Caenorhabditis elegans: one gene and its partners. The protein of the gene in region 1 interacts with the protein of each later gene in a pairwise test. Each region holds a gene or a part of one and is shown on either strand. Other genes may lie near its edges. The genes, in order: nhr-43, nhr-273 and hlh-27.

Region 1 (6,023 bases):
CTCTTTAGGTTATCGGTGTCTAGTTTGTTGTTTTCACGTGCATATTTAACTATCATTCTGGTCTTCCAATAGATTGCTACGTCTCTCGGTGTATTCTCTATAGTTCACCGAAACAACGTTATTTCTCATTCATCTATATAAAACAACTTCGTTTTGTTTCTGATGATTGATAAATCATCCACGTCTTTGATAGCAACAGACTCATTAAATCTACCGTAATCCGTGTTTGTTTTTCAACAGGAAAAAAAAGAGTTTTCTTGTTCTGCAAAGCCTCTCCTCGCTACTGGTTATGCTTCTAAGAATGAATCATAATTTTTAAGTAAAGAAAACTACTTTTGTTTTTGTTTTCCTCCTTTAACATACTGACATCATTATCCAATACTGTAGTTCCTCACACCGTAACCCATGTCTACCCTTGTTCATGAGACTACCACATGATAAAAAGTGGGTAACATGAGCGAAAACTGGAATGAAATGTTCTATGAAACAAATCATTAAATGATGCATTGTCTCTCGTTGTTCACTATCATTGAATTGTTCTGATTTGTGCCCGATACAATTGACGGGGTTAAACTGTTTTATAGTGCAAACTGTAGAGAAGTTCAAAATGTGCCAGGAATTTTTTTGATTTTTTTTGTTTATTTTTTCATCTATAATATAATTCTAAAACGACGCATTTTTAATAAACCTAGTTTTTTCCCAAAACACTCTGACTCCCTTCAAAAAAATCAAAGTCTACAATTTAACGGGAGATCGATTTTCGATAATTCCGGCATTTTCGGCATTTTGGGATTCGGCAATTGCACGCCCACCGGAAAAATTCGAACATTTAAAAAATTCATAACCAAACTTTCGCATTTTACAACATTGTTTGCATTATTCAGTACATTTTGCCCCCTTTTAGCCTGTCACAAAACTGCCTAGCTTCGTCAGCGTATATCTCAATTGTAGTTTGTTTTATCAAAAAGTTGTCAACTAGCAAAATATTTTTCATTTATTTTTCGATACGTTTGTAGTTAACTAATTTCTGGTATCTTTGAAATTAACTGAAATATATGCTCTCAAAGTAAAGTACTTGTGAGCAAGATGTGCAGTTTTGATATTATTTCTACTTAAAAATTCAAATTTACTTGTAAAAAAGCAATAGTCTTACAGTTATAATCAATTTAAAAAATAGTCTTTCACTGAATATTACTAATTGTAGAATAGTAAAGTATATATAGTCTGAAACAATTAAAATAGGTAGTCCGTGGTCATCAATCAGTACGATAGTTTTTATTTATTTTCTTATCACGAAATTTTATCAGAGATCCTATATATGAAAGTGAAAACGGGAATTTTTTGATGATAAGTCATAGACCTCCCAGTTTGAGGAGGCTACATATTCATTGACAATTGGAATTGGGCGATTTGCAAGTTTTGTTCATCGGGTCCACAAAAAGTGGTATGTATAGTGTGCTAGAACATTGAGAATCTACTTTTACTTTCATAAATTTCCCAAGAAATATTTTGCACGTATTTGTCAGTTGACAAAATTTTGATAAAATCAAAGAAAACCGAGGTATACATATGTTGTCAAAGACTCAAAGTAGAACATTTGGGATTTTATTTTCTATTTGTAATTTATTTTAACCACCAGATCCATCTTAATGATTACACTGATTCTTCCAGCCTGTCAAATTGCAACTGTACGTAGTCTTATTATTTTCCTACTACTATCACATGACGTGGCAAGGCCAGAGACTTCGTTCTTTTTTCTGCAATCGACTGTTCGATGCGCCGAGGCGCGCAGAGATTTTGATCCGCATCTCAAATTGTGTTGACTTCTCACTACAAATATTTGATTCCCATGCTTGTGACGTCTTCTGTCCCCGTCTCCCGCCCTCTCCATCCGATATAATCCCACCCACCGCGCGCTCCGCCTCCTTTTATTCCGCCTCCAGTGTCAGTTGCAACGTTGGTGGCACACAAGGCTTGTACAAACTTGCATAATTTGATATAAAATTTATTTTTCTCCTTTCTTCTTTTTCCGATCATCGAAACCACACAAGTTGTGGTGATAAGTGCTGATATGAGATAGTTTCCACTGTATCATCTCTCTCTCTCTCTCTCTCTCTCTCTCTCTTCATTTCTCCTCACTTCCTCGCCGAATCATACAGAGATCGGCGTTCTCGAAACCCATCGATGACGTCATTGTTCCTTACAAGCCAAAGATTACAGTACTCCTTCTCCTCAATATCTCCTCTTCATTCCTTCTGAATCGGTGCACCCGCCTGTTTCCTGTGTAATGATTAGCGGCCCATTTCTTCACTTTGATCCAACTGTTCCACTCCAGACAGTCATGATGTAAGTTCTCCTGAAAATATGAAATATCAAATAAATTTTCAAATATAAAAATTCATCAAATTTTTTAAATTGCTTCAAGTACCATTTTGCATTTATTCATTTGAAGCAGTGACGTGCGGCACATTTACAAAATCCCCGTTTTCTCATAGTTGTGGCAACGGTTTTTGTTGGAAATTTATATTAAAAATACAGAAATATCTGTACTTTTTGAAAATAACTTAAAATTCAATAAAAAGTTTTGAAAAGTTGCTCGAAAACTTCTTCAGAGTCGTAAGATATGTGCCGATCAGCATATTGATATTTGAGGCAGTTTTTAAACAGCTTCTTGAAACTTTTACTTGAATGTAAAGTTGTTTTCATAGAATACAAATAATTCTGTATATTTCTATAAAAAAACGATAAGAAATGGCAAACGGCATTTGTCGCGCACCACTGATTTGAAGTGTAACTTCCTGGCTAGGCGATATCCACCACAATGACCAAGACCTTTTTTTTTTCATAAAATCAATTAATGTTGTAATCTGAAATCTTTAAGCGGACACCCGGCGACGTCTCCTTTGTCGCTTCCATCATCATCGTCTAGTCCGACCGTTGCCGACCCATCGAACATTCATTGCCGAGTTTGCGAGAGACGATACGACGGTTCGCAGCACTTCGGAATTGATGTAAGTTAGTGAGGAACACGAGGAGAATAGGTTAGAGAGGAAAAACCTAAGCGGAGGGTCGAGAAAATTTGGTGCTGATCATCAGATATTCATCTTTTCCGAAAAAGACTTGTTATTGGGTAATGCCTAGATTGTTTGTGATAGCCACAAAGTTTTCTAGGTCATCAACTTTAGATAAAACAGTTATAGACAGATTTTAAGATAATTTGGAAATGTGAGGGGTTGCCAGAAATAGTCATGGCCGTTTTTCTTATCTATATCCTTATCAAGTGAATCCTAAAAATAACTTAATTTTAAAGTTCGATCAATCCAGTTCAAATTCATTTCTCGCTCGAGATTTCAAGCCGATTTCTCTGAATACCGGTTTTCCAAGCCTATCCAAAGATATTTCGTTGTGAAGCTTTTCCCTGCTTCTCGCTTGACAAGATGAACATCTATTGATTTTCAGATTTGCCGAGCATGTGCCGCATTCTTCCGACGAAGTGTAGCTGTCAAGAAGACATTCGTCTGTAGACGTGGAACCAACAAATGTGAACTTAACAGTGAGTATTTCTAGAGTAACCCCTTTCCTTGGCAAATATAGATCAGTGACAAACCATTATTTTTCTAGCAGTGTCTCGAAAAACCACATGCCAAAAGTGCCGATGGATGAGGTGTCTTCTTGTTGGTCTTAATGTTGATGGTGAGTAAATATAAAAATTGTTGATTAAATTGAAATATGCATTGTCTCCAAATCAGCATCTAACATCACGCCAATTCAATCCAAACTGGAAATCGGTTTTAACATTCATGATTCGCTGCGCGCTAGAAACAATCCAGCACGGAATGAGTTCATTAAAACAAGCGCGAGAGATAGACACATAAAGAGAATATCAGTGGATGTGTGATGCTGCTACCCGCAATCATTCTGGTCTTTCCGAAGAACGAATATGTTCATCGTTGCATCAGTGAAACAGACAAAATATGATTGTTGGTCACAGTTTCCACCCAGCGAAGGGGGAGGAAGTTGTTGTAATAGTAATAGAGGTCATGAGAATAACATGTGAAATTGTAAATATTTCAGCAGTAGTTGGCCGACGATCACCCGACCATGTCAAGACAACATCAAGAGACGAATCAGTTAAAAAGGAAGATGAAGAATCGGATACTGGCTCAGAGGGTAAATCATGTGAAGATATGGATGTATCCCATCCAATTGAACAATTCCAACAACAAATATCATTTTCTGTGCACCGCCCAATTCCAACAATTGGAAATCCAAATATCTACACAACAAGGGCATCTCTCATTAACAAAGTACTTATCAACTATAAGTGAGTTTATTGGAATTCCACAATTCAAATTTATAATTTTCGTTTTTTCAGTGAATTCACCAAATCCCGCCTAGACGTCGAGCTTTCTCTCAAGCACATGCAACAAGATTCCAAAGTATTCGGATCAACTGGCATTCCAATTGTTCCAGCAACTCGTGAAATCATCTCAGAAATCTACCAAAAACAATTCGGGCTTCTCCATATTTTCCTCAAAAACACTTTCGACGAATATGCCGAGTGTGATGTCCAGGAGCAAAAGAGAATTTGTGCTATGTTTTATCCAGTTCTCTGGGAAATCGAGTCCTGCTACTGGACCTACCGTAATATGCCAGTTCAACCTGAATACGAGACTTTGATGATGTGCACTCAAACTACTTACATCGACTCGAAAAATGTTAGATACTGGCTTGGAAATACCACTGGATTGAATGAATCTGATATTCAAGCAGTTGAAGCGTAAGTTTCTTTGAATTTGTTTCATATTCCCAATTAAACATTTTCCAGTCGTTTGGAGAATCTTCTAACTAAAGCAAGAAACTTGGTTCTCGAGCCAATGCACAAATTGATCATCAAAGAATTCGAATTCATTACCCTTTTGGCTCTCAACATCTGGGCTCCTCGCAATCATCGCGGCTGTGTTTCCGAAGATCGCGCCGAGCAAGTTCGTGATGCTCTTTTCGATGATCTACATTATTTGTATTGTGATGGCTTGAAAATCGACAAGTATTCAAGTAGAATGGGAGAAATGATGTGTCTTCATACAGAAGTTCAGGTAATTAAATTTAAATTCGAATATTTGATTTTAAAGCTCACAATTTTCAGAATGCCGATATGTCCTCCACCATCAAGAATATCCTATTTTCCGATCTCAACGCCTACTTGTACTCAATCTAATTTTGTTTCCCTAAGGTTTCTATCCTCCCGAATCCCCTTTTAATATCCTGTAAATACTTTCTTCAGTTTTCAAATTCTCAAATTTGCTTTCACTATCAGTTTAAACTCGAAGCTTTTGAACATTTTCATCCTTCCAAATGACTATCTCTATCAAAAAATTGTGATCGCGTTCTGATTGCCATAGCTGATCTTTAATATTGTACCGTATTGTTCACTATATTTCCTTACCTCATAATAAACAACGAAATTTGATGTTGTTTAATCCTGCAGATCAGTGGCTGGTTTTTAATGTAGAACACAATGATGAAACATTGCCGAATGACGTGGATGATCGGTACATTTTTGCATCACAAGCCTTTTTAACAAAACAAGAAAAAAATTTTGTGAACATTGATAAGAAATAATCACCTGTTATGATTCATTTGATTAATTGGAAATACATTTTTGATTCTTGTATGACCTGTGAACTTTGGATCAACATCAATAGCAAACTGTCGCTCTTATCATTCAATATAAAATACTATATTTTTACGTAGGCCTACCTGCTTTCAATGTGATAGGCAGGCGCGGAAACAACTCAGGCGGCCTATTATAAAATAGTGATGTATGCCCTACTGTAGTTATCATTACAACAAACTTTCGTCGCGGCTCACAGTTGCTTGTAGATCTATCCTTATTGTATTGCACCACTCTGCAAAATATCTCCAAATTTATATCTCCGCTCAATCTCTCCAAAACGAATTTCTAAGTTGTCCAGGATCGTAACATGGAGTAGCTGAATGAACGCGTTTCATATTGCGATTAG
Region 2 (4,191 bases), on another chromosome or scaffold:
AAAATTTAAATTGTATACAAGACATCGCACAATTTCAGAGCATGTGCTGCATTCTTCCGGAGAAGTATTTCAGAAAATAAATTATATACATGTAGCGGAAATAACGATTGTGATGTTACTGTTAGTGAGTAAAAATTAATTGACCTGTTTTGAGCCAAAATTTTGGACTATGTTATAAACTCAAAGGCATTCTGTAAAAAAAAACTTCAAAAAAATAAAACATTTTCACTAAGGTCGGGCTTACAAGCCTACATAAGGCTCAGTCTAAGCCTCTAAGCCTAGGCCTAAGCCAGGCAGACAGGCAAGTCGGCTTGTTCTCTAAGCCCAATTGAAATTATCTATCTTGATTTGTTTAGACATCAGATGCATGTGCCGGGCATGTCGACTTACCAAATGTATCGAAGTTGGAATGAACCCTGTAGGAGTTCGGCAGAAGCCTGGTAGTTTCCGGAAATCAAAGGAACTCATCTCTCCCAGTTCATCAAATCATGACGAGTTCAGTCGAATGCCAATACTTTCAAAAATGAAATTGAACTATGAAAATATGAGAAATGCCAGGAAAGCATTGCACAATGAAGTTGGAGAAAATGTATTTGAGGAGAAGATTCCAAAAGAAATAAATTATAAAGAATCAGTTCAGCAGGGAATGAAGGATTATACGCTGATGCCTGAATGGGTGTCCTCTTGTTTTGATGAGTTTCGAACGTTATCCGCTGATCAGAAAGTGAGTCGGAAAACTTAAATGGCTATTTTAACACATCAAATGTTTCCCTATACCTTGAGGCAAAAGGTAGCCATGTAGGTAGGCGAAAGGTGCGTAGGTAGGCCCTCAGAAATGTGGCAGACATGTAGGTAGGACATTTGCTAAGGCATGCAGCAGATCTAAATATAGCGGTGCCTTACAGCCGTACCTACCTGCTTGTCTACCTATTTCATATGCCTACGTAAAATGTCAAAACATTTTTGAGCAAATTGAACAATAATGAGGCTAAAACTAGACATGTTAAAAATACTTCTATTTTTGAATTTTCCTTTTTTGCAGAATATCTTGTTCCGCAACTCCTACATTCCATTTTTCATGATGGAAACTGCATTTTTAAGTCATATCAACAATATGCCGGACTCTGTCATTTTCCCATCTGGAGACTATTGTGACATGAAAAACTTGGAGCGATACTATAATTCTACAAATTTTGAAAAAAAAATCAGCACGGAAGATATTGAAAAGTATTAGAAAAGAGATGGTTAAACTTAACGTTTTTTTTTTCAAATTTTCAGCTTGTTCAAGCCGTTCTACGACAATTACAAGAGATCTTTGCTCCTCCCAATGATGAATCTTCAAGTTGACATCTATGAATTTCTCACACTTTTTACACTTCTCCACTGGGATACTGGCCTTGTTGAGATCACCGATGAATGTCTGGAAATTGGCACAAAAGTCAAAGCAGAAGTATTCAAGGAGCTGGATTTCTATTTGACAAATGTGAAGAAAGTCGCAGAGCCATCAGTTAGAATAGGGACAATTGTCAACTTACTTCCAGCAGTTCATAAAAGCGTACGGAGAATACAGGATGACATGGAGATGACTAAAGTCTTTAATATTTTTTCGGCGCCCAATGAGTTTTTTGATCTTGTTACTGGCAATTTCTGAGAATAAAAGAAACAAAATTCTTGTTTTATTTGTTTTACTAATTCAACTTACAAAGGAATACGTTTCAAATGAATGCAATATTGCCTCGTAATTTTTTTCTTTTCCGCCTCTCACTATTTATCAACAGAAAACCATATTTTATCTTTCTATCTCCATTATCAATCATTATTCTGCACTTTGTGTGTTCATAAACTATTGATTAATTTAAAAGAAAAAAATTAAATTGCTAGAATGGGACCACGACAAAAAGATAAGGATCAATCGAAATGCTCAATTTGCCGAGAACCTGGAGATGGGTTCCACTTTGGAGCAGAAGCTTGCAGGTACTTATTTATTTATAGGTCAGACTTTAAAACCTAGATTTCAGAGCTTGCGCAGCATTTTTCCGTCGAAGTGTGTCCCAGAGTAAAACATATTTGTGTCAAGGGAATAACGATTGCGATGTTACTGTTAGTGAGTATTTTTAAACTTCTGTAAATATTAACATTTAATTTTTAAAGTACAAAAAATAACATATTAATCAATTCCTTACACAGGCATGTTGTACCTTTGTAAAAGCAAAAGAAAATGTAACATATTTTTTGGGAAAAAAGGGACCGCCTGAAAAAAATCACGGTCGTTTTTTTGAAGTTGTTTGGACCAAACTTTGGATTAGTTTAATTATTAAAAATTTAATATAAATAAAATTCAGATATTCGATGTATGTGCCGTGCGTGCCGTTATGTCAAATGCATTGAGGTTGGAATGAATCCTGTCGGAGTTCAACAGAAACCAAGACTACCCAAAAACCGCAAAGAAGTTTCAATTGATTTACTCTCGAGCCCCCGAACGTCCAACTCATTGATGCTCGAACTACCACTTACGGGTCAAATGCCAATTCTCTCAAAAATCCGAGCAAGTTACCAAACAATGTGCAATGCTCGGATAGCGCTTCACAAGGCTGAAGATAAAACTGTATTTGAAAAGAGAACTCCAAAGGCAGTAAATTACAAAGAAGCGGTGAAGCAGGGTATGAAGGATGTCACGTTGGCTTCTGATTGGGTCTCATGGAGCTTTGATGAATTTTCCAACTTGCCGATTGATCAGAAGGTAGGTTTTTAGGTTTTAGCAGTTAAAGTGGATTGTTTTTTTCAGAGAATTTTGTTCCACAACTCGTACACCGCATTTTTCATTATGGAAAGTGGATTTTCGAGTCATTTGAACAATACACCGGATGCAATAACATTCCCATCTGGGGACTATATTGACACAAATGATTTGAATTCATTTTACAATGGTACAGATTCTGATAAGCAAATTTCCAGTGAAGATATTAATAGGTGAGTAGGAAAAAACTCGATCTGGAATATGTCGTTAGAATATTCCAACTATTCCTGAAAAAATCAGTTATGTACAACAAATCTAAAAAATTTAGACTCTTCAAGCCATCCTATGAGCGCTTCAAAAAGTCAGTGATCTTGCCAATGATGACTCTTCAAATGGATATAATAGAATATCTTGCTCTCTTCACAATGTTACTTTGGGATACTGGACTTATCGAATTGAGCGATGAATGCATTAAAATTGGCGATAAGATCAAAACTCAAGTATTGAAAGAACTCGATTTTTATATGAGGAATGTAAAAAAAGTCGAAGAGCCTCTTGTGAGAATTGGAACTCTTGTGAATATTCTACCAGATGTGCATAAAAGTGTTCGTAGGATACAGGATGATTTGGAAATGACAAAAGTTTTCAACTTGTATGCGCCGTCCGATGAATTTTATGATCTCGTGATGGGAAATTATAATTGATATCATATTTTAAGTTTTAACTAATTTTTACTCATTTTACGATAAATGTATAATATATTGACAATCTGCTTAAAAGACGGCCTACGCCTACCTGAAGGAGTGCCTAAAGCCAAAATAGACGTGAAAATTTGTTTCAACTCACTTTAGTGTACTTTGCTTCTGAGTACAGAAAATAGATGGTAGGTAGGTAGAAGGTAGGCATATATATAGTCAGATTTTACCAATTCTCCATTGACATTGAATGTATTTAAATCGAGCTGAAAATCGAAAATTTGAAAAAATTCTCTGAAAAAATGAGAGTATAGGGAAAGATGTTCAGTGGACCAAATAACCGCTTAAACTCGCTAAACTGAGTATCTTCAAACTGGCGTATCTCAAAAAAAAGAAATATTTTTTATTTTTATTACATTAATTATTATTTGAATACACCAACTATTTGTTGAGTTACACAGAGTCAAAGCCATTTTTCCAAAATTCACAAAAAATTTTGAGAACTCTTTTATTGTATCCTTTATAACTCAACATTCATTGAATTTCAAAAGATAAATTTTGTTAAATAGTAAATGAAAAATATTTTTCCACATTTTATCAGTTTTGTTTTTTGATATTTTTATGTATTGTCAAGTTACAGACCGTTTTTCAAAAAAATCAAATTTCCGCCATAAAACTCTTCATATACAACGTATCGGCTTGAAATTTTGAGAAATGATCATTTTTTTGAGGTCTCTACAATGTCCTAAAAAATCTTTC
Region 3 (3,976 bases), on another chromosome or scaffold:
GTCATGAAGCTTCTTGGGAAATCCCTGCAAGATGCTATAAAGACTGGGCCTGATGGTCATTTGACATTTGGGCTCTGCGATTGGGGCATCGTTTCAATGCTTGGAAGCATTGGAAGATTTGCATTGGAGTGGGTTCTTGGACAGAGATGTGAACCCTGGCAACTTCTATCTCGGAAGAGCAAGCCAAGGCGAGCTTCGCAACATTTTTGTTCTTAGATTCGGATGTTGCCGAAAGTATGTAGATCGCGAAAATTTGATGCTCGAGCCAAGAAAAACTGTGCCATTTCGTGGAAGCCCTCGATATGCACCGCTTGCATCACATAATACGGCGGAACATGGACTGAAGGACGATTTGGAAAGCTGGCTAGTTTAATCAATTTAAGAACTAGTCATTTATGTGATATATTCTGTAAAGATGCCAGAAGGCCAGATTGGGTTATCACTTAGAATTGAAAATAAGAATAATAGTTTTTATTTGAGAAAATGTGTTTTTCTAGGTTCTACATGCTCGTCGATTTCACCAATGCAGCTCTTCCCTGGAAAAATGTAAATGAGATTGGCGAGATTGGTGCGATGAAGAAGAATTCCCGCTTCCAACCGATCATGGGCCAATTCCTTGCTGGCTGCCCAGATGAATTTCGCTTGATTATGAAGTGAGTCTCTACCAAAGCTGATTTATTCGTAATTTTCCATTTCCAGCTATATCGACAGTCTTTCGTTCTTCAAGGAGCCCGATTATGAGATGATCTATACAACACTGCAAAAAGTGATGCTAGACAAGGACATTGAAGAGTTTCCGTATGACTGGGAGATGGAATTTGGTGTGGACTAATGGAACTTTGATTATACATACTTGTCTTGCTTGTATTCTGGCTAACAAATTTTACCGAATAAACATTCATTTTCAAACAGAATAATTTAGACAAGACTATCACGTGAGTAGTAAAAAATCTTCAAAAATAGATTGCGACGCGATGGGATGAAAAAGTTCGGGAATATTGGCCATAGAAAGATAAAAAAATGAATCAAAAACGCAATATAGACAATGAAGATTTTCGAAAAATTGCTCAGAAACTAATTGTAAGATCTGGAAGAACTTGATAGACTAGTTACTAATATCGACGGTTTCTTCATTTTCTTCCTCGTCACTAGTTTCTGGTGTTAAGATTTGAAGTGATGGAAGAATGAATCGGAGGGGAGCAGAAAATATTGATGGAACGGTGTTGTAGTTTGACAAGACATTGAACTGAGTAGTTGGGATCATTGGAATACATGGAAATGTGAGCAATGGAGAAGTAGATGTTGGGGATTCTTGAACTTCTTGAAACGTCAATCTTGGGAAGAGATCCTTCACTTCCATTCGTGTTTTTGGCTTTTCATTCTCTTTGTTCTCACAAGTAGCAGTTGATTTTCCAGCTAAAAGAGGAAGTATTTGGGGAATTGTTTCTGGATACAGAAGATCGGAATTGTGTTTAATGTAATCAATGATGATTTCTAGAATTGTGATCCGTTCAAGTTTTAATCTGAAAATAATTTTTTGAATTTTTATTAGCCATAATGAAACTCTTACCGTTGCTCGTAACTTCCCATTTGTTTGTTCAAAATGAAGAATTTCAATTCAGCATAACAGTCATCTTGTTTCTTTCTTCGAATCTTTTCACGTTCAGTCTTCACTTTTCTTCTTTCGGATTCAGTATCAAACTTCCGTCTTGTAGATTCGGAGAGGTCATTCGATGAGAAATTAGATTCCAGATTAACTCCAGTCACAAGTTTCACAATTCGGAAGAGAACTACTTCTTGTCTAAAAAATGAATTAGTTTAATAACTATTTTAAGCTAACAGAGTATTTAAACTTACGATATATGTTCTTCTTCTGATTTTTGAACAATCGTCTTGCATTCGTTAATCAACTCGTTTGTAATATTTCTTCTTTTCCGTTCAGATCCTGATTTTGGAGTTTGATTGTATGGGACGGAACGATAATCGCTCATTGAAGATGGGATAACTTTTGGCATCTGAAATTTGATAAGTTTTAATCTTTTTAAAATCAAGAAGAAATCTAGAATTTATAAAATTTCAAGATGAGCCGTTAAATAAAAGGAATAATTGTGACAAAACAGAAAAATGAGACCAAGAAAGCAGCACAAATTGATTTAGTTTAGTGAGATAACTCGTGCTGTTTTTCTAGAAGTATACAGTTCACTGAATGCTTTAAAAGTAATTGATCAAAATCAGTACACTTTCCTGATGTTACAATTATCAAAAAGTATACTAAACCAGCAGACCAGTGATCCACCAAGAAAGTAAATGAACAATGAATAAATGGTTACCTTTTATAGTTCCATTATTGTTCAGAGGGTGGAGCTTTGTATCAAGCGTTTGGAGCCATGGGAATTATTCTGAAATCTCTATTTTTACAGTCCCCATCATGGGTTCCCATGGTTCATCAGTGAGGTTCTCATGAGAACGAGGCTGGACATCTCCAGTTTTGTCTTGGGACCATGCGAAACTAGACGACTGGATATCGATTGGGTACTGCCTGGGAAATTCCGGCTGAGACTGTGAATTAGGATATTGGCACTGTGTTAATTTATTCTATAAGTTTATAGTAGTATCAACTGTACCGGATGAACAACATTTTAAACAGAAATATCTCGAAAAGAAATAAAATAGGAGAAAACAACTGAAATTATTTTGCCAGTAATTCTAAACAAGATTGATTTGCAACAGTTTCTTCGAACATAATTTTTATATAAGAAGATATCTATTTTGAATTGACAGTGGTCAACAGAATAAATATGGAGAACAATCATATTGGAAGAGCTGGAATGCAAAAGTGAGAGGAAATTGATTTGAGCTCTTCGATTATGGACGCAAAAATGGCATGGCGTGACTGAAACGACATAAGTTTGAAAGTTGATAGGACGATTTATAATATAAATTGTGTTCCCTGTTTGCTCCAATGATATGAATTTCGGCAACAGTATCACTACAGTATCACGACAGTAGCCTTATAATAACCCGCCAATAAATTCATTTGATCTTCGCTCATGATCTCAGAAACGATTTTTAGTTTTATTACAATTATCATACAGTATCATGATAACAACGGAGATTGCCCGTGGAATAGTTCAGCTACTGGAATATTGGCTACAGTAATCCTATGGCAGTAGCTATGACCTTAAATATACTCACATCTGTCTCCCAAATTACAATTTTTTATTTTTTATTCTTTAATATATTAAGCCATAAATTTCATCGTACAACGACGGAAGACAATTTTTGGAAACTTGCCGAGTCAAAATTATCATGACTCACCTTGGAGATCGTGGAGGAAGCCAGATCATTTGTGGCAATCTCTTCCTGAAGGCGGGTTTCCATAATTCTCACAGATGTCTTGAAACGGTCCTAGGCATTCTAGAAATGTAATGTGATGACGAATAAATGTATATTTCTAACCTTCCGGATTATCTCCAAAAGAGCCTTTGCTCGGTTATATGTGGCACGGTCGACGCCATTGGCGGTCTGAATATAAAAGATGAGTTGAATTTCAGAACGAGATTGAAATACTCACCTTTTTCATTTCACTTCTTGCCTCTTTTTGAAGCTTTCTGCGGTCCATTTTGTAGCAGATGTGAAGGTAAGATCTGAAACTATGAGCAATAAATTAATAGCGAAGTCAAGTCAAGTGATTGAATGTAATTGGTGAGGAAATTAGTATTCAATTTCAATCAAAATCACTGAAACTGATATTTCCGTTTTCAGTGTTCCAAAGTGTACCAATTGCCAACTAAAAGGTTATGTGAACAAACTTTCAAATCAATAAGCCTCCTCAGCTTCAACAAAAAGGGACAAATTTTATCAAAAACTATTAATAACGAAAAATCCCTGACTCATGGTGCATGGCTCTTTCTCAATTCTGATTTTTTGTTGTCTCCCCCCGTTGCAACGATGATAATTTCTGTCTTATTTCTGT

What was found.
Region 2: the proteins of nhr-43 (region 1) and nhr-273 interact in a two-hybrid assay, tested with the Caenorhabditis elegans proteins (one large-scale study listed by BioGRID).
Region 3: the proteins of nhr-43 (region 1) and hlh-27 interact in a two-hybrid assay, tested with the Caenorhabditis elegans proteins (one large-scale study listed by BioGRID).

What each region holds. Positions count from the first base shown.
Region 1 is NC_003282.8:11,897,442-11,903,464, forward strand, and holds nhr-43 (Nuclear hormone receptor family member nhr-43), read left to right. Parts: upstream 1-2,218; 5' UTR 2,219-2,287; coding exon 2,288-2,346; intron 2,347-2,881; coding exon 2,882-3,011; intron 3,012-3,459; coding exon 3,460-3,553; intron 3,554-3,621; coding exon 3,622-3,693; intron 3,694-3,801; exon of another isoform or gene 3,802-3,932; intron 3,933-4,074; coding exon 4,075-4,324; intron 4,325-4,375; coding exon 4,376-4,780; intron 4,781-4,828; coding exon 4,829-5,096; intron 5,097-5,146; coding exon 5,147-5,218; 3' UTR 5,219-5,469; downstream 5,470-6,023. UniProt on the Caenorhabditis elegans protein: Ligand-activated transcription factor. Positively modulates expression of homeobox protein lin-39, perhaps by binding to the sequence motif 5'-TGAC-3' in regulatory regions of the lin-39 gene, acting in the embryo, and also in the vulval lineage.
Region 2 is NC_003280.10:4,433,497-4,437,687, forward strand, and holds nhr-273 (Nuclear Hormone Receptor family), read left to right. Parts: upstream 1-1,803; 5' UTR 1,804-1,882; coding exon 1,883-1,974; intron 1,975-2,018; coding exon 2,019-2,104; intron 2,105-2,342; coding exon 2,343-2,740; intron 2,741-2,785; coding exon 2,786-2,970; intron 2,971-3,065; coding exon 3,066-3,441; 3' UTR 3,442-3,502; downstream 3,503-4,191. Other genes in the region: nhr-109 (NR LBD domain-containing protein), read left to right, coding at 39-124, 357-724, 1,043-1,227, 1,279-1,651.
Region 3 is NC_003280.10:5,538,195-5,542,170, forward strand, and holds hlh-27 (BHLH domain-containing protein), read right to left. Parts: upstream 2,020-3,976; 5' UTR 2,016-2,019; coding exon 1,858-2,015; intron 1,802-1,857; coding exon 1,571-1,801; intron 1,524-1,570; coding exon 1,106-1,523; 3' UTR 881-1,105; downstream 1-880. Other genes in the region: C17C3.11 (Protein kinase domain-containing protein), read left to right, coding at 1-216; C17C3.24 (uncharacterized protein), read right to left, coding at 2,810-2,893, 3,319-3,381.